Linked DNA regions of Oryctolagus cuniculus. The protein of the gene in region 2 interacts with the protein of the main gene of each other region in a biochemical or structural test. Links are inferred from orthologs where the notes say so. Each region holds a gene or a part of one and is shown on either strand. Other genes may lie near its edges.

What was found.
Region 1: the proteins of REL (region 2) and NFKBIE form a complex in vitro, tested with the Homo sapiens proteins (2 studies listed by BioGRID). The link is inferred for Oryctolagus cuniculus from reciprocal best matches to the Homo sapiens genes REL and NFKBIE.

What each region holds. Positions count from the first base shown.
Region 1 is NC_091436.1:125,864,629-125,874,641, reverse strand, and holds the start of NFKBIE (NF-kappa-B inhibitor epsilon), read right to left. Parts: upstream 4,959-10,013; 5' UTR 4,742-4,958; coding exon 4,368-4,741; intron 2,335-4,367; coding exon 2,232-2,334; intron 1,629-2,231; coding exon 1,406-1,628; intron 101-1,405; coding exon 12-100; intron 1-11. UniProt on the Homo sapiens protein: Sequesters NF-kappa-B transcription factor complexes in the cytoplasm, thereby inhibiting their activity. Sequestered complexes include NFKB1-RELA (p50-p65) and NFKB1-REL (p50-c-Rel) complexes.
Region 2 is NC_091433.1:141,817,946-141,828,019, forward strand, and holds the start of REL (proto-oncogene c-Rel), read right to left. Parts: upstream 6,317-10,074; 5' UTR 6,028-6,316; coding exon 6,006-6,027; intron 1-6,005. UniProt on the Homo sapiens protein: Proto-oncogene that may play a role in differentiation and lymphopoiesis.

The DNA.
Region 1 (10,013 bases), on a different chromosome or scaffold from region 2:
CAGCACCTCACCTGTGCGTCAATGTCGGCTCCGTTCTGAAGCAGTAGCTCCATGAGTGGCTGGTTCCTCTGCAGGGTGGCGATGTGGAGACAGGCCAGCCCTGGGATGGGGGAGGGTACTGCTGATCTTCGGCCACCACTCCCACCCTCCACCCCCCCCAGGCCCCAAGGGACCCACTGCTCACTCGGTGCCTCTAATCACAGGACCGTTAAAATGCACACCAAAAACTCCCTCAAAAGTCTGAGGGGGAAAGGAACTCAAAGTTTCCAGCTTTTCAGTCATGTTATTGAAACCTTCATGCTTCAGGGGGCAGGCTGCTGAGTGCCGCCCCCGGACGCACGCCCCCTCCACACACACACACACACACACACACACACACTGCACCTGCTTTCAGGCCAGGCTGAGGCCACATCTCTGAGAGTCTCTCAGGGATCCCCGGTTCCCAGCCCTCCCCAGGCCCTGTCTCCTCCTGCCTGTAGCCTCCCGCCCTTTGTGCTACTGCCTCCTGCCGGGCTGGACCCCACCTCTGCTCAGCGTACGTCCTCCACCCCTACAAGTCTCTGATCAGATGTCCCTGGCTCCACGATGCCCTCCCTGACCATCCAATTGTCAAAGCACATCCAGGGGGCTGGCACAGAGGCACAGTAGGCTAAGCCAGTGCCTGCAGTGCCGGCATCCCACAGGGGCGCTGGTTTGAGCCCTGGCTGCTCCACTTCCATTCCAGCTCCCTGATAATGCACCTGGGAAAGCAGTGGAAGGTGGCACAAGTCCTTGGGCCCCTGCACCCATGTGGGAGACCTAGAGGAAACTCCTGGCTTCAGATCAGCCCAGCTCCAGCCACTGCAGCCAACTGGGGAGTGAACCAGCAGATGGAAGACCTCTCTTTCTCTCTCCCCCCTTCTCTTTCTCTCTTCTGCTCCCTCTATAACTCTGCCTTTCAAATAAATGAATAAAATCTTCAAAAGGAAAAGCACACATCCACTCTCCAGCCCCCTCATCGCAGCCCCTCTCCCTCTGCTCTGCTCTGCCAGCGCTCACTTCTCTGACTGTAGCTGTACCCTCCAGTTAGGTTTGCTGGTTTGCTGCCAGTGGCACACTGGCTCTGCTGGCTCCCAGGTGTAATCGCTCCCAGGATAGTGTTGGGGGTGCCTGGAAGGGCCCTTGGGACATTTCTGGTGTATGAGTGAATGAGTCCTCATGACCTCTGGGAAGCTGAACTCTTAAGGGCCAAGATCCACCTTTCTGATCAGCACACGACAAGCGGGGGATAAACTCTAAATCCAACCATTCACTCATCCCTTCCTTCAGTACCTATGTGCTTGGAGCCAGAGGGGTGGGGTGGGGAAATCTACGGACAGCAGGGGGCCCCTCCCCTCCCCCCTCCTGTCCCCGGGACTGCCCGCACCTTGCCAGTTCTGCAGCTGGAGATCCAGGGAGTGAGGCGGTCCTCTTCCTGGTTCCGGCTGGCCCTCCAGCAGGCAGCGGGCACAGGCCAGGTGCTGGCGCTGGCAGGCCACATGCAGGGCCGTGTCACCGTGCCGGTCCTGCAGCACCCTGCTGGCCCCCTTCAGCACCAGTGCCTGCACTGCGCCCGGCTGGTCCAGGTGCACGGCCAGATGGAGGGCCGTCTGTAGGCACAGACAGAGGGTCACCGGGGGCAGGCGCCTCCCTCGGGAATGTCTAGGGGGCCACCCTCTGTGAGAGCAGCTTACAGGTGCCACAGCCCTGGTCTTCCAAGGAAATACTACCAAGTCTTCCCTGCATCAGCCCCCCACCCAGTTCCAGGACTCCAGTTTGGGAAGCAGGGTGAGGTCCTCTGCTCTTCTTGTGGGTCCCCATTAGCCTCCAGAGCCAGAACACATGGGGACAGACTCTAGCCCCTCCCACTGTGGGGAAACCCCTGGGCAGGAAACAGGGCTTAGTTTGAGGTTGGAAAGATGGGGGCATCAGGCAGTTTCTACATGGCAAATGCCTCTTTGAAGACTCCACTTAGAAGCCACCTCCTGTGGCTGGTGGCACCCCCTGGCTGCTTCACGTGACACCCCCCCTCCTCCCCCATCACCGAGCTGCGTGGCTGGAGTCCCCAGCCTGGGCTGAGGGCACTGTGGGTAGAGGCTGTGCCTTATGCATCACCAGCCCCAGCTCCTCGCTCTGTGGCTGGCACTGGGTTACCCGCGCGAGCGGCCAGGGCAGACGTGGGCACCTGAGCACTGGCCCTCCTCCCCACCCACCTGGTAAAGGTTGTTCTGAATGTCCAGGACCTCCTGTGGCAGCAGAGCCAGGCAGCACAGCAGCATGGCGGGGGCTTCGTGGATCACTGCCAGGTGTACCAGCCTGGAGGAGCAGCGCAGGGCTCAGGGTCAGGGCCCGGGCCGGGGCCGGGGCCGGGGGTGGGGTCTGGGAACTCGGTACAGAAGGCACACAGCAGCCTCTAACTAGCTACCCACGGGGTAGGTGCAGGAAGTGAGACTTTGAGCCAGGAAGTGAGGGTTGGTGTGGAAAGCCAGAATCCCGTGGGTGGGAGCTCCAAGTTCCCATCCCTGGCCTTCAGGAAGGCTTTGGCTGGGTGGGCACGTGGGCAGGGTGCTGACGGCACAAGGGCCTTCCTGTCCGGCCTGCCCACACCCCACTCTCCTCTGCCCCCGGGGCCCTGCCCGGCCAGCTGCTGCTCCGGGGCAAACTGAAAGCGGCCGGCCTGGTGAAGAGGGGGTTTTCCACAGCCCAGGGCCCCACCTCCTCTCCCCAACAGGGAGGCCAGTGGGAGGCCGATGCGGGGTCCCACCCTGGCCTCTGGGTGTCACAGAGTCCCAGGGGAGGCAGCCAGCCCTGCTCCCACAGCACTGCCCAGAGACCCACCCCTGTGGTGTGCACCACCAAGGGGAGGGCTGGGCAGTGCACAAAGTGTGTGGCAGGGGCAGGCAGGCGGGGGCCCAGAGCTTCTGCCCTGGGGTGAGGGGGGCGGCTGCAGGGGAAGTTCCAGTCCTGGGGTTTCCCCACATCAGGTGGGGAAAATGAAAGCGGAGCTGGAGGGTCTCAGCCAGGACAGCTGCCTCAGGCACGAGCCAGGGGAGTAGCTGCCTGGGCTGGGGAGGGGGCTGCTCAGGCAGGAGGGGCCGGGCTTTGGCCCAGGACAGAGTGAGAGGGAGGCAGCAACGGCTCTGGAAATCCCCTCGGCCAGGGCCTGCCCTCTGGGTCACATTCCTGCAGCCACCTCCCTTCTTCCCTGCAGCTCCCCGCCCCCTGCCCCCTCCCACTTCCTTTTCCCACTTCCACACCTCCTGCGGCCCAGACACCTCCAAGGCAGGCAAGGGCCCCTCCTCTTCTTTGGTGGCCGCGCTGGGGAATCCTGACACTTGTCCCTCGGCTGGACCCAGCACCTGGCGCTAGCCAGAGCTGGTAGAAAGGGTGGCGTTAGGCAGTGTCAGAAGGCTCCACTCCCTGGACCGAAGGTCAGCATGGAGCCACCAGCACCTTGGGGTGCTGGGCCTGGGGGCTGCTGATCCAGGCTCAGAGTCCCAAGAGGCCTGTGGTGATCTCTGTGAGTGTTCAGAAGTGCATCTCAAGGAGGCGAGACGGGACAGGAAGCTCCTGCCTCCCCTGCCCGTGCATCTCCGATCTGGACTCCAGCCCTCCCCTACTCCCCTCCCCAGTTTTGGAGTTCAAAATCCCGGCCACTCCCTCTTGTTGCTGGTTTTCTTCTTCCTGGGGGCCAAGATCTTAACTGGCTTGTCCATCCCACCCTACAGCTGCTTCTAGTTCAACTGCCCCCTGTCCGAGTCCCCGCCAAATTCCACCTGGGCCCCGGGGAAGGGTAAAATGAGGGCGGAGCACAGCACACAGAGGGGGCTGGGGGGCTCAGGAGATGGAGGCTGAGAGGGAGTCTGGCTGGCTCCAGCCCTCACTTCCCCTTCGCCAACAGACAAGGAAGTAGGCCCGGGGCATCCAGCTGCCTGTGAGTCTGCTGGGGCCAGTGCCCCAGGCTAGCTCGTCCCCTCCTCCTTAGGGCCAGCCCCAACCCTAGCACCTAGCTTTCCCGGCCCTGACAGCAACCTGTAACTGGCACCTCTTGTTCCTTGAGACAGGGCATTCTGAGGTCAGGAGCAAACAAGGATGCCCCCTCCCCCAGCAAGAAAACAAAGCTGGACTGGTCAGGGGAATTCTCTCTTCCCAAGAGTGGGTTAGTGGTGATTTCCAAATGCTGGCCGCCTAGGTGAGGGCGTGCCAGCGCTGCCCATCCCCTGCCAGGGGGCCGAGTTAGGTGTGGAGTGAGTTAGGAGCTAGGTGTGGACAGTGGGGCTGTCCCTCCCAGGGCGGGTGCCTGCAGGGTCCCCCCCCCCCCCAGGTGCAAGCCTAGCTCCCCCACTCACGTGTCTCCGTCTTCTGAGATGTAAGTGAGCGCTTCCAGCTGCTGAGGGCTCAGCGGCCCCGCGCGGGGCAGCGGCGAGCCTGGGGCCAGGGCCTCGGCCTCGGCTTCTGGGCCCCCCAGCAAGGACAGGGACTCCGTGAGCGAGGAGGAACCATAGGTGGAGTCAGCCCGCTCCCCGTCGGCGTCTTCCTTCTCCTGTGGCACCTTGGTGGTCCCCCGAGGATGGGTCCAGGGCTGGCGTCCGCCGCCGTCCGAGGGCGCAGCGGCTGAGGTCGGCGTGGGCTCGGGCAGGGAGCGCAGCGACCGCAGAGACTCTATGCCCGAGTCACACTGGCCCTCGTCCGCCTCGTCCGGCTCCTTGCGCGCCTCCGACATGCCCGCGGCGCCGGCCCGCGGGGCCCGGTGCGCGCAGGAGCTGGTGCCGACCCCGCCGCGCCGCCTTTCCGGGTCGCCGGTCCGCCTGGCAGAGCGCGCGCCCGGCCGCAGCGGCCTCGCTCCCGAGCCGCCGGAGTCCGAGGGGTCCGCGAGCGCCGGCGGGGTCCGCCGCAGCGGGTACCCTGGACAGCTGGACCGCCCAATCGGGTCCTCCCCGGGCCCCGCCCCTCGGGCCAACGAGGGAGCCGCGCGCCCGCCCCGCCCCCGACGGGCGCTTCCGGGCCGAGGCCCCGCCCCTCCGGAATCCCCCTTTCCGCGCGGCGTGCGTAGGTTCGGGGTCTGTGGTTAGCTGGTCCTGACTCACTGCTCCGGGGACGAATTCGGCCGGCCGGGCGGCCGTGTGTCCGTGCGTCCGTCCGTCCGTCCACTCCTTTTTCCTTCTCCATTCTGCGCCTTCATTGCATCCATTCATTCTGTCCTAAACTTCTGTGCCTTGATCCGCTGGTTTGATTTAGGGGGATGTTTCTTGGTCGTCTCCACGGGCTGGGCTGCTGCTGGTGGGGTGGGTACGCGGCTGGTGGGATGGGCTGGCGTGGCTTCCTCCCGTTTCTCTCCATTTCCCTTGCTTTCTCATCTTTCCTTATTAGGACCCAGGAGTCTGGGACGGGAGGGGGAGAGGGCACCTGTTATCCTAACGGAAAGGGGTGGGAGGGGCAGTTTTTCCTTGGGGTCCCTGTGTCGGTTCCCCAGGTCACGTGGATCGGGCATGGCGAAGTGCTTTTGCAGAGTGAGCTTTCGCAGGCCGACTCTTGTCTGAGCAGCACAGCGGGGCAGGGGGTTTCTGGCCTCAGGCGGTTACAGCGTCTGGTTACCCCTCGCGGTCAGGGACGTTTAGTTCCTCGTGGTGGGGCCAGGATGGGGAGGCCCCAGACATGCCGGGCTGCACTCTGCTGAGGTCTCCACCCCGCCCCAATCCCAGCCCCCACGACATCTGCGCTCCTTCCCTGTCCCTGCTTTCCCAGGCCGGGGCGCCACCCACAGGTGAGCCCCAAACAGGTGCCCCATGATTTACTCCTTTGTTGCTTCTTCCTGCTCCCAGTGCACTGCCAGCCTAGGGCCAGCGATGCCCGTAGGGTCTCATCACGGACAGGTCCACCACTCTCCATCTCTGGCAGTGGGGAAGCAAGCTGGGGTGGGTGTCGTGGGCACTTGTCCACTCAGCCACGGGACAGCCATGGACAGAGTTTCTGCGTGGCTGGAGGTGGAACCAACTGTCACAGCAATGACCAAGGACCTTCACGCCCATCTGCAAAACACCTCCCACCCCCTCCCTGTCCTCACAAAGCCCCCCTGGCAATTCCAACAGAGGGTGGCTGTGCTAAGACCACAGTGAGAACAGCTGTTGTGGGGACACAGAGTGGGGCCAAGCCACCCACTGGAGTGAGGGGCTGGGAAGCTTCCCTGGGAACAGAAATGGGAAGGGAAGTGGTGGGGGCAGGGTGGGGGGGGTAGAGGCTTCCCCAGAGTTTTGCATCCCCTGGAGGACCGGAGTGGGAGGATGTGTCAGCATGAGACAGCCAGGAGCCCCGGATGGGGAGAAAGCCCCAGGAAGCCATGTCCCTCCCTCCCTTGGGGTCACTGATTTCAGATGTCCTCAGCCTCCTTCCCTGACGTGTTTCTCTCCTAGACTCAAAAGCTGGAGCAGGACCCAGCGTTCAGCCCGGTGGTTAAAATACGGGTTGTCCACATCCCGCAGCAGAGTGCTTGGGTTCAAGTCCCAGCTCCATTCCCAGTCCCCTGGGAGGCAGCAGCAGGTGCCCAGGGAGCAGGTAGCTGGCTCCCTGCCGACCATATGGGAGTCCTGGATTGATTTCAGGCTTTGGCCTGACCCAGCACTGGCTGCTGCCAGCATTTGGGGAAAGACCCAGCAGATGGAAGCTTTCTCTCCCTTTCTCTCTGTCTGCCTCTTAAGTAAATTAAAAAAATCTATTTATGATTGTCAACTTGAAGGGCAAAGCAACACAGAGAGGGGGAGGGGAAAAGATAGAGCTATCTTTCATCTGCTGATTCATTTCCCAAATGCCCACAATGGCCAGGGCTGATCTGAACTCCAAGCCTGGTCTCTCACATGGGTGGCAGAGGCCCAAGAACCTGAGTCATCTGTTGCCTCCCAAGATGCAATAGCAGGAAGCTGTATCAGAAACAGAGTAGCTGGGACTGGAACTGACACTGATATGGGTGGGTGTTGCACGAGCAATGGCTTAATCCACTGGCCCACAACACATGCCCATGCCCCTCAAATACATTTTTTTGAAAGGCAGAGCTAGAGAGAGACAGAAAAGGAGGTCTTCCATATGCTGGTTCACTCCCCAAATGGCCACAATGGCCAGGGCTGGGCCAGGTGGAAACCAGGAGCCAGGAGCTTCTTCTGGGTTTCCCACATGGGAACAAGGGCCCAAGCACTTGGGCCATCTTCATCTGCTTTCCCAGGTGCATTAGAAGGGACCTGGATCAGAAGTGGAGCAGCTGGGACATAAACCAGTGCCAGTATGGGATGCTGGTACTGGGTGGCAGCTTAACCCACTATGCCACAACACCAGCCCCAATACATTTTTTAAAAAAGCATTACTTATTCTTTTTGACAGGCAGAGTAGACAGTGAGAGAGAAAAAAGTATTACTTATTTTAAAGTCAGAGTTTTATTTATATATTCTATCTGCTGGTTCACTCCCCAAATGGCCCAGTGGCCAGAGCTGGGCCAGGTCGAAGCTGGGAGCCTAGAACTCCATTCGGGATTCCCACATGAGTGGCAGGGGCCCAAGCATGGGGACTATCTTCTGTTGCTTTCCCAGGCATATTAGCAGGGAGCTGAATCAGAGGTGGAACAGCAGAGTTGGCGCTGTGGCACATTGGATTAAAGCCCTGGCCTGAACCACCGGCATCCCATATGGGTGCTGGTTCCAGCCCCACTGCTCCACTTCCAATCCAGCTCTCTGCTATGGCCTGGGAAAGCAGCAGAGGATGGCCCAAGTGCTTGGGCCCCTGCCCCTACTTAGGAGACCCAGAGAAAGCTCCTGGCTCCTGGCTTCTGAACAGCTCAACTCTGGTCGTTGCAGCCATTTAGGGGAGTGAACCAGCAGGTGGAAGACCTCTCTCTTTCTCTCTCTCTCTTTCAAATAAATAATTTTTTTTGAATCAGTGCTCTTATGGGATGCTGACATCACAGGTGGTGGCTTAACACTACCCCTCAAATAAAATTAAAAATTTGTTTTTCTTAAAGTAAAAGTACTGCCACAAACCCCAGACCCAGACTACTTGGGTTCAAAACCTGGCATGACCACTCCCACCAGAGAGGTGAGCTGACTTGCTCAAGATTCAACAGGAGGTGCAGAGCTGGGGTCTTCTGATCTGATCCAAAGCTTTTTCAGTGAACCCTTTCCTTAGCAAAATCTAAACCACACGAGGCAGGCATCTGAGCCCTCTGCAGGTACACAAGAACTCAGGAGGGTGCAATGACCGCCATTCTAATTCCTACAGAGGCTGAAGTCAAGGAAAAATCCATCCCAAGCCAGACTAATAATGTCTGGCTCTGAGCTATAACAGGTGTGTGGCAGTCCCCTCTCCCACCACATGAGGTCAGCATCGAGTCACCCACGGCTTCTAGCACCAGTGCCTCCCCTATTATCAGGGAGCTCTCCTGTCAATCCAGGACTGGGGAGACAGACCATGGAGTGTTATTTGGAAGGATGACCTGGGAACTTTGAATCAGGCTGCAGCGTGGTCAGGGCTCTGACATCACCTCCTCAACAGCAGTCCTCTTGGAGGCTGGGTCCCTCCAGCCTTCTCTCTGCTGCTTCCTGGATTCCCTTTGTCGTACCCCTACTCCCTACCCCCACCCACCCCAGCCAGGCTCATCTTCAGGGAAACAGGCCCGGTTTCCATGGTGACCAGCCGGTCAGCTGGCTCCTTCCCCCGCCCCCTCCCTTCACCCCCCTTCTCCTGGAGCTTCCAGGGACGGGTAATGTGTGTGAATGGGAAGGCAGGGGTGGTCTTTTGTCTCCTGGGAGCTCTGGGTTTGGTTGTCCACCCTCCAAGACCCTTGAAGTAGAGACAGGAAGACAGTGCGGGGTCAGGAGGAAGATGACAATAGCCACATGGGGATGGGAGGCTCCCGTGAGAGTTAGGAAGGGCCAAGGTGAGGCGCTCTGCTGGCAGAACAGGCGGAAGCCTGGCTGGGAGAGGCTGGAGTTAGCTGCGAGGCAGACGTCCCAAGAAGCACTGGGTGCTGCACTGGCAGCAGCCGGCCCCTGGGAGCCTCTTCTGTCACCAGGAGGGAATGAGGACCCTGCCTCTTCTGGACCACCTCCCCCCCCCCCCCAAACTGGGAGGGCCATGGAGCCACAGGGTGACACGGAGCCATCTTCGCCTCCCCCGGAAAGGGCAGAGTGGGGAAACGGAGGCAGGACCCTCCTGCCCCAGACCTTGGTGCTTGTTCCTTGTCTCCAAAGATCACACAGGCAGGCTCTGCCTCAAGCTAGCTTTCCAGCCCCCAAGTAGCTTCTGAGGCTTTTGCATGGGACAGGTCTACATTCTGGGGAAAAGCTCTGTGAGTGCTGAAAGGTGACCTGAGTAAACCTCCCATCCTCCCTCCCTCTGCCTGGGTCCCTGTGGGTAACTGAGGAGCAGAGTTGCTCTGTCAAAGGCCTTAGGGACACAGGGCAGGAGGCTGCTGAGCTGGTGCGCATGGACTGATCAGGCATGGCCTTCATCGTGTTCTGTTCTAAGGGCTGCTTTCCACCTCTTGCACTTTGCGCGAGACTTTTGCTCCTGGACAGTAGGGAACAGCTTTTCATTTCTGTGCGGGGGGCACACAGTAGGCGCCTAATGCCTTTTACCGAATGGATGCAGTACAAGGATGAATGAGTGCGTCTCCGCCAGCCAGTTTCCTGTCTGTCTTTCCCCCGGGAGGCCCGAGCAGCAGGGTGTGGCGCCCCTGGCGGGTAGGGCTGGGGCCGGTGCGCCCTCCACCCTTCCCTGCTCCGTGGTCCCGGACTTTGCCTCCTACGCTCACAAATACCCTAGAGGTTGTCCAGCCAACGTCCTCACTGCACGGACGAAGAAATGAAGGCTCAGAGAGGAGAAGGCATGTGCCCAAGGTCACACAGCTCATTCATGGCAGGGCCAGGACTTAGAGTTCGAACACGGGCGTCCTGCGCTCCAGCCCAGGGCGCCGGCCGCACTTCGTCGCCTCTCCAGGGCCGCTCAAGGGGAGG
Region 2 (10,074 bases):
GGAAGAGGGGCAACCGGGACAGAATCCGGCGCCCCGACCGGGACTAGAACCCGGTGTGCCGGCGCCGCAAGGTGGAGGATTAGCCTAGTGAGCCACGGCGCCGGCCTGATACTTATTTCAATGTTACTGAAAAATATAAGGCATATAGATAAATATTTCACAATTTTATATGCATATTCTTATATATTTCAAATTTTGCTTTCAAAAATTTTTTAAAGATTTATTTATTTGAAAGGCAGAGGGAGAGAGGTCTTCCATCTGCTGGTTCAATCCCCAAATGGCTGCAATGGCCAGAGCTGGGCTGATCTGAAGCCAGGAACCAGAATCCTTCTCCAGGTCTCTCGTGGGGTGCAGGGGCCCAAGGACTTGAGCCACCTTCCACTGCTTTCCCAGGCCATAGCAGAGAGCTGGGATGCTGGCACTGCAGGTGGTGGTTTTGTCCACTACGCCACAATGCCGGCCCCTCAAATATTTCTTATTCATATTTATTCTTGCAGGAATATTTAATACAAAGTACATTTTCCTCTCAATAGGTCCAAAATCAACAGCATTTTTAAAGTGACATTGTAAGTAATTTGTGTGGTTGAGTTAAAGGTCAAATAAATCCCTGCCCACTACATATTTAAAGGTGTCTTGATGGGAAACTGATATAAGAATGACATCATAAATGGTAAGTGGTTAATTTTTTTGGAGGGGAGAGTGTAAATGAAAATGCGAGGCTCACTTTGAGTACCCAAAGTGAGCATTTAAAAGATTTCATTGGTTACATGAACTTCTTTAAACCAGACAATATGAATGCAAAAGTCTACAAAGAAAAGGAAAACAGTTAAAGATTTTAAAATAGTGAAAATGATATAAATATTAAGTATCATATAAAGTACTTGAAAATCCTTGAAGTTTATGTTTCCTATTACAGAACTTCTTAATTGGTAGAGTCTCATTAACAACCAAGTAATAGAATTTATTATAATATCCTACATACCCTTAGCTGGAAATAATCTCCTCCTCCTACAAACTACCACACGTATTTTGTTCATAGCAATTATTCCAAAGAACTATTTTAGGGAAGGCTTGTTTTATTTGTTCTTGAAATAAAGCTACTTTGTTTTATTCCCTCAAACTACCTGAAGGCAGAAATTTTCTTACTCATTAGTGCCTTTTACACAGAGGACATTCAGTAAATATTTGTTGAGTGAACTGAAAAATCTAAAGTTTCTGTGTTGTACTAGTTATTCAAACATTAAAGAACTGTTTTAGTGATTAGATTTTCTTTTAGGTTCCGCTGCTATGAAAAAAATACTGCTTTGTAGCTACTACAATTGCTACACTTTTATAATTTGCTCATACCATTCATATTCTGATTTCTTTATCTGTAATTATTTAAAAAGAACTACCCAGCTATAAATCACAAAATGTACAATGCACCAGTATCTCTTTCCTCAGTGCTCTATTTTTCAGAGCCATTCTTTTTGAAGATAAAAAAATACTAAAATTTAGCCATCTGTGGAGCTGAAGAAGGTAAATAAAAACTGTAGAACTGGAAGGAAAATGAGTACTGATAAGACAACTACAAATCACCAGTTTTGAAAAGCACTGAAATGTCCTCAAGATCAGTTCTAAACAAGTTGACTACTGCTTTTCTCTTTGACCAATATGATGTGGAGTTGGAATTGACCCTTACCTTTTGCACAGCATTATAAAATGCTAATACAAATCACAATAACATCTGAAATACAACCCAACTGTTTGCAAATATATTTATGTTTTTATTTGTACTTAGGTTAAAAAGTCCTATAACAAAACAATGCCTATTTTAATACTTAAGAATTACATTAAAATAAAAAGTTTAAAATGGATTATCAGTTGTCAGAAATACACATTAACTAAAATCTTATCGCTAAAATTAGGAAATAATAATAAGTGCACTGGAAATTTTTTAATTACAAATAGTAATTATACAATTTTGAAGCACTTTTATATACATTTCTCATTTGGTACCCTTAATCTTCATAAAAACTGAACAAGAATTATTATCCTATTTTACAGTTCAAAATTATATGAAGTTATAAGAAAATGCAATTATGAACATCAGCCAGTTGAGGGCTAGGATCTCAGGATGCCAAATTTAGAAAACAACCAGCATCAAGGCAGCTGGGGGATATAGTCACAATTACTGATAGAACAAATAACGTGCAATCTAAGATATACGCAAACTAATTTACGAAGATAATGGATGGATTTTGGTACAGACAACGAAATCCCCAGGAAAAGTTCACTCTGGGGTGTCTATCAGAACCACCTAGGTAACTTTTCCAAAATATCTGTGCCCTGACTTTGTCTGAAATCTGAAAAGAAACAGAAATCTTGAAGAGTAAATCGCAGACATATTTCTGAAAAAGACTTGCAACCAATTCTACGACATTCTGGATTAAGATCCATGGCCTTAAAACATCAAACAGTGGAATGAATGATGCATATATCTAGAGAAGCAATCCAAAAATTGAGGACTGGGTCATGGGTAAGCTGTATGGACTGGGTCATGGATAAAATAGGAAAAGCAATTCTGGCTACTTGCAACCCCTTTTTCTTGCCCACTCAAAAAAGCTTCTTTAACTACAAGCAAGCAAGACAGATGTGATTATAGGGAAAGACTTCAACTACTGTAATTTACTTAAAAAAAAGTCACTTGCAAAATAAATGTTTTAATAATAATCAATATATACTTCTTGCAATACAGCATACAAATAATTGTTAGGTCAGTGTGCCAACACCCCAGTTGAGAGATGTCCTAGACAAGACTGCCTCAGACCCAAAGGAGCAAAAAGGGATAACAATAAATACTTTTCTAAAGATCACCTATATTCACTAGGAAAAGAAAATAAAATTTCTTCTGTTTTACTCAAGTGGGTTTATATAGGGTTAAAGGTGAGATCTGTTCCAATATAAAGCTGACTTTCAACTGGACCTGAAAAACCTAAGAAAGGGAATTTTCTGATACATCTATGACAACAAAGTAAATAAAAGATGTAAAAGATTTTGGCAATAGACCACGGGGGAAATCAAGTCTTGAAAAACCTTTCTACCTATCAGTGATAACTAGAGAAATATCTTAAAATATGAATTTCAGATAAACAATTTTTTGTGTAAGTGTATTCTATGTAATATTCAGTCATGTGTCTACAAAATGCAGAGAATGAAGGTGACAGAAAGTTGGAAAGAAATTCTGTGTCCCTTAAACTATTTGAAAAAAGATACTACACACCTCAGATGTTCCTAATTATGATTCATTATCTGAACCCCTTCTTAGTCATTTCATTCGTTCATTCCCTTTATGTCTATCATCTAACACCTTTTATGCCACTGCTATCTCTATACTTTTTCGTGTGTTGCATTTCTGAAACATCTGTGGGCTTTTACTTGAAAAAAAAAAAAAGAAGTCATTTGCTTTAACTACCCATTCCTAACTTCCAGCTTCATTATTAAAGATCATGTTGCTTCATGCTCACATCTATTTTTTCCCATTAACACTACAAAGAATTGTTAAGTAGTGAGGTTTACATAGACAATTGCTTCATGTACTACCTATTGCATGACATAGCAGAACCATATGCTAAAGAAAAATGTGAATAAATTATATAAATGTTAAAACATTTACTAGAGATAGTATTATCAGTAAACAAAGCCATGTTTACTAGAACAATGAGAGACTTCAAAATCAGACATAAAATACTTCATTTTACTTATATTAAAAATATATGAATACTTGCTACCTAATTAGGTATACCTTAGACAGGTCTGGGAACATTTTTCTTCACTATGCCTATTCAACTTAATTGTGTCAAAAGACTGGAATCACGGTGTGCTAATTTTTAAAAAGAGAATGAAAAAGTTTAATAGAATCCAAACTGTGAAATCTAAAACAATGAATCCGATGATTTACCTGAACAAACTTTAGAACCATGTATAAAGTTCTAGCTACTGCTGGCACTTATTAATTCTGCTTATGAGATTATGATCTGTGTTCCTTTTACATTAAAGACATCACCTACTCAATCGCACATACCTATTTACATATGACATCCGGTGAGAAATGAAGAAATGGTCTCACATGCTTGGTAATCAATAAAAATATTTTTTGAGGTTTTAATACCTTACTACAAACACAATCTAAATTAGACTATGATACACAATTTTTTTTCTGTTTGTTAAACTGCTTCAAAACAGGACAGGAATATTTAGTCAATCTTTTTCTCCAAGTTCTTTCTATCTAAGTAAAATACACCCAGACTCCTTTAACATTTGTTCTGCCTAGTGGTTTCAAACTAATTTAAATAACTTGTTATGTTTTAAAAGAGTTCCACTTTAATGTACCTCCAGAAAGACCAAAAAACAAACACCAAAAGGTATGACCTACAACTTGCAAACTTTTAAAGCTTTCCATTTAATTTTTCCCTTCAATTTAAAGAATCCTTAGTCCTCACAACAGCACACAATACAAAATTATTAAAAAGTTAGAAGGTATCACATTTTAAAATCATGCAAATCTTAACAATACTCTAAAGAATGTTTTTTTTTCTGTCTTTTGGAAAAACTCATAAATATTACATTCATGCAATAGCTTAATGAAGTGTGCTCAAATAGCCAGCCCCCCCTTTTTTTTTCACTTAAAACGCTCAGAATTCTTTACTACTTTCAAATAAAATCTTTCTGATAACCAATAAACTAAACAAACAGCTGTAGTTATCTGTATACTTTTAAACTAAGTGTGCTTTGAATGTATGAATTTATAAGATTACCTGAAAGTGTGGGGTCACCTAAGTGGGTAAAGGGAAAGTTGAAATATTTTAAACTCCACTTGAATTCTCACATGAAAACCACAAACTGAAATCAAATGTCATGTGAAACACCCCAATTTCCTTTTCAGCCTACAGCCATCGCAATGGCACTGCAGGGCTAGGCCCTTTAAAGAGGCTCCTTACGCTTGCTACTTCCTCTTCTCGACTCGAGGCCGGCCGGCTACCGAGGGTCACTCACCTGGGCCGGCTGGGGGACCGCGGGCCGAGCGCCAACAAGCCCTCCCTTTCGGCCTCCGGGCCTCTGCTCACGCTGCTCCCGGTACCTGCAAACGGCCCCTGGGCAGCCGCGGCCACCGGACTCAGCCGCCCTGGGTTCCCGGCAGCCCTGCTCCGCGGCTGCAGACGAGCCTGCCCCCAGCAGCCCTGCAAAGCCGCTTCTCGTAATAAACGCGTCTCACCGCCCCAAAGCGAGAGACCCAGGCATTTACGGACGGCCAACAAGCACATTAAACAAGCTGGTTGTTTTCACGAACACCCATTATGTTAAAGCACAGATATTAAAAAAAAAAAAAATCCTCGTTCCCTCTCTCATTTCCAACAAGGCGGTGGCGGGGAACTCAATGTCTCGGCTCGGTAACCTCGCAAAGTACGTGCGCCCGATTTCCCGGGGAAAATGCCCGACTTGGAGGACCAAACTTTCCGCTGGCGCCCGGCGAACCCGCCAGCGGCCACCTGTACAGCCGCGCCGCGCTCGGCCGACGGTCAGCGCGAGAGCGACCGCCGCTCGGCGCCCGACGGGACGAGGGCGCACGGCAGGCAGGAGCTCGCCCGAGGTCCCACGCTTCCTCATTCTCGTCCTAGACCCCAAGCCCACCATTTCGATACCAAGCAAGGCTCAAGGACGCGCACTCTTGGGCCCCCTCCGATCCGGACGGAGGCTTTCCTCACCCTGGCATCCCGGCGTGGGGAATTTCTCAGGTTTCCGGTTATGAAACTGGAATCCAATTACAGAGTCTGGCTTTGATTGCGCACGCAAACCCTGAGGCAGGTAACTTTTTCAAAGCCTGACAATTTGCCAGACGAGGCGATCTTTTAAGACGGAATCTGCCCCGATCCCCCCGACCCTCAGGGCAGCACGACCCCTACCCCCATCCCCCAAAAGAGCCCCCTTCGCTCCGGCCCTCGGCACCCAGCGCCGGGAACACTCACCTGAGGCCATGGCTCCGCTCATCGCGCCGCCCGCACACAGGCAGCTCCCAGCGTCCCGGCCCGAGGCGGCCGCAGACAGTCGGCCCGCCAGTCAGTCAGTCAGTCAGGAGGCCGCGGGACCTCTGCCGGCTGGACCCCAGTCCCCCGGACCACCCCCCGAGGCCTCCTCCTCCTTCCCGCCCTCCTCTGGGTTTGCGGCTCACACCTTCCCACCCCCTGAGTTCTCGCGCTGCGGGTCACCAGCGTCGCCCTTCCCGGGTGCCGGAGCCAGGGCCAAGGGGGCGGAGCGGGACGAGAGCCCAGCGCCGGCCGGGCCAGGAGGCGGGCAGCCAGGCGGGAGGGGGATTTCCCGCGGCTGACGTAGGCCCCCACGCCGCCGCCTTCCCCTGGGGGCGTGGGGCGGGGCGTTCTCGCGGCCGCGCGCGTGGCCGCCCTCGGCGGTCTCCGCCCCGCCCCGCGCGCGTTCCCGCCCCCGCCGCTGCGCTGAGGGCCTGGCAGCTGGGCGGCCGGCACGGGAACCCGGGATACTCGGGAGCGCCAGGGATCGCCCGGAGCCCGGAGCGTGAGAAGGCGGGCAGCTCCTGAGAAAGCCCCCTCCTCCAGGTTGTTCTTCCGAGCGAGTCTTAAAGTTCAGGAGCGGGTGGGAGGGCGCGCTGACGTGAAGAGGGCCGGCCGCCCGGGAGCGCGTGGGGGCGGGCCGCGCGGCGGAGTGGGCCCGGCCTCCCGGGGTTTTCGATGGGTGGTTCCCCCTCTTCCCGATTTCGCACATGCAAATCTCCGCCCCCGCGCCGGCGCGCGTCGTGGCCGCTCCGGAGGTGCGGAAGCGGCCGTCGCCTGCGTGCGCTTCGGATTCGTGTATTTGCATACGGGGACCCCCGCAATCTGATTTTTTACCTCTTTCTATCTAAATTTCTAGGGCTCGGTTAATTTCATGTCTTTGTGCCTGCCAGAACCTTTAACACCGAGAGGTCCGCGCGGCGAGTTCGTGGCCTCCCGGTGACGGACTGGGCTCGGGTTGAGGGAGGTGGCCACTCTGGCTTGGGCGTTGACAGCCACGGGGGGGAGTGGAACGAACAGTTCGTGCCTTCGAGAACCCGGTGTGATTTTGTTCCCATCATTTGCCAAGCACCTGCTGTGTGTCAGATGGCTTGTTCACCACATGTGTAGTGTATTATTATTACCCTTAGTTTCATGGGGTAAAGGGGTTCAGGGAAGGGGAAGCACAGGAACTTCTCTGTGCTTAAGAATCCTGCAAAAGGAAAGCAGGCTTAAACCCGAAGTTGTGCTACTCCGAAGCTCCACCCCCTTTTCCCTGCTGAAAAGATGCAGGGAAAGTGCCAGAAACTCGAGGACCCCGCTGTGGGTATAGTTAAAATCCTCCAACCCCAAAACATCCTCTCCACAAAATGTGCAAAGTACAGAAAGAATGAAACGGTTGTTTTCTTGGATAAGCATTAAAGCATACCCTGATATGCCTGTCACCGGCAGTGCACTGAAGATGGCAGAGCCGGAAAACTTCTCCCTTTTCATCTAACCAGACCTGTAGAATCCATTACCTACCTGTTAGTTGTCTTTCCTCAAAGGAGAAATCCTAGGAAGCCAAGGCTTAAACTCCCAAAGATAGGTAGATGGCGACCCATCCTCTTCGATTTTCACATTTCCGAAAGAGGCTGGCAAACTCAGGTGGGAGATGAGAATGAAGCTGCTGGCCCAGACCTGAGTTTTGAGGCTGTTTAGGGAATGAACCAATGGTTCCCTCTGCCTCTGCCTTCTCCTCCCCCTCAAACAAACAAAAATCAGCTGGCAGGGGATTTATTTAGCTTTTCAAAAAGGTGTGCATGATACATTTCAAAGGCAAAGCATTCACAATTTCAGTTTTTCTGAAGGAATTGCTAAATGGGAGCAAGTAGTATTTTTTGTGGTTTTTAGCACCAGGGATTTTTTTTTAATGTTTATTTATTTACTTTCATCTACTTGGAAGGCAGAGCAACAAAAACAGATTTTTCATTCACTGGCTCACTTCCCAAATGCCTCAAACAGCCAAGGCTGGGCCATGTGGAAGCCAGGAGCCCAGACCAACATTTTTGGGTTGCAGGGACCCCCAAGCACTTGGGCCAGTATCTGCAGCCCCCCAGGATGTCTTTCAAACCAATTTTTTCTTTTTTTTTTTTCTTTTTTTTTTTTGACAGGCAGAGTGGACAGTGAGAGAGAGAGACAGAGAGAAAGGTCCTCCTTTTGCCGTTGGTTCACCCTCCAATGGCCGCCGCGGCCGGCACGCTGCAGCCGGCGCACCGCGCTGATCCGATGGCAGGAGCCAGGAGCCAGGTGCTTTTCCTGGTCTCCCATGGGGTGCAGGGCCCAAGCACCTGGGCCATCCTCCACTGCACTCCCTGGCCACAGCAGAGAGCTGGCCTGGAAGAGGGGCAACCGGGACAGAATCTGGCGCCCTGACCGGGACTAGAACCCGGTGTGCCGGCGCCGCAAGGCGGAGGATTAGCCTAGTGAGCCGCGGCGCCGGCCTTTCAAACCAATTTTTAAAAATTATTTATTTATTTATTTGAGAGGAGAGGGAAAGGTCTTCCATCTGCTGGCTCACTCCCCAGATAACTGCAACAGCCATAGCTGGGCGGATCCAAAGCCCGGAAACAGGGGCTTCTTCCCAGGTCTCCCATGTGGGTGCAGGGGCCCAAGGACTTGGCCCATCTTCCACTGCTTTCCCAGGCCATTAGCAGAGAGCTGGTTTGGAAGAGGAACCACTGGGACATGAACTGGCACCAATATAGGATGCTGGTGCCCCAGGTGGAGGCTTAGCCTACTATACCACGGTGCCGGCCCCTCTAGAAGGCAATTAAAAATGTATGTGTAGGGGCCAGCATTGTGGTGTTGAGCTGCCACCTGCAGTGCTGGTATCCCGTATAGGCGTGGGTTCAAGTCCTGGCCGTTGCAGCCAACTGGGGAGTGAACCAGCGGATGGAAGACCTCTCCTTCTCTCTGTGTGTAACTCTTTCAAATAAATAAATGAAGCTTAAAAAGTATGTGTATATATTTAGTTGAAAGAGTCACAGAGAGGAAGAAACAATGATAATTTTTCTATTTGTCATGGTACTGACATTATAAAGAAGAACTTTTCTTGCCTTTTCCTATTTAAAAGTTTCATGGATTCTTATATTCATTGTATTATAACCTGTTACTGGCATCAAACCATTCCCATCTATGAAATCATAAGCTTCATCTTAGGAAATTTAGTGCAGCTACAGAATTTTGAACTAATTAATTTTATTTTTCATACATGTGCTTATTTAAATTAATACAATAGCATGTTTATATTTATTTTCAGGGCCGTTTTTTTCACATGACTCAGGGATTTATCTTGAAAATTCTTTTTCTGTAATGCTTCCACTACTTTTTGAATTAGTTGAAACTTTCCCCCAAAGATTTAGCCCATACCTGAAAAGCAAAATTACTTTATTCATGTGGGATAAACTTATTTAGGAAAAAGACAGCATGATGAATGAACTGCGAACAGTAGACATAGGTAGTGATTCTGATTTTTTTTAGGGAATCATGCAGGGAAAAAAAATGTATTACTCTATAGATGATAGGCAGCTAGTTGTTGGGGATTAAACAGGAGACTAGCATGTGGAATCTTCTCATGGGCTAAAGTCTTTGATACTTTCACTCAATTAAATAAATACCTGCTCTGTGCCAGCTGTTGTAGGTCAGCGTGGGGACCGTCAGACCCGCAGGTGGTATAAGGCCCATGAAATCGTTTGGTATGGCCCTGCCAAGGCAACTGCAGGTGATACTTGAAATTCAATAAATCAGTAAATCTACAGCAGGCTACTTTTTTAAGGATTTATTTGTTTATTTGAAAGGCAGAGTTACAGAGAGGCAGAGAGAGAGAGCAGGTCTTCCATTGCAATGGCCAGAGCTGCGCCGATCTGAAGCCAGGAGCCAAGAGCTTCCTCCGGGTCTTCCACATTGGTGCAGGGGCCCAAGGACTTGGGCCATCTTCTGCTGCTTTCCCAGGCCACAGCAGAGAGCTGGATCGGAGGTGGAGCAGCTGGGT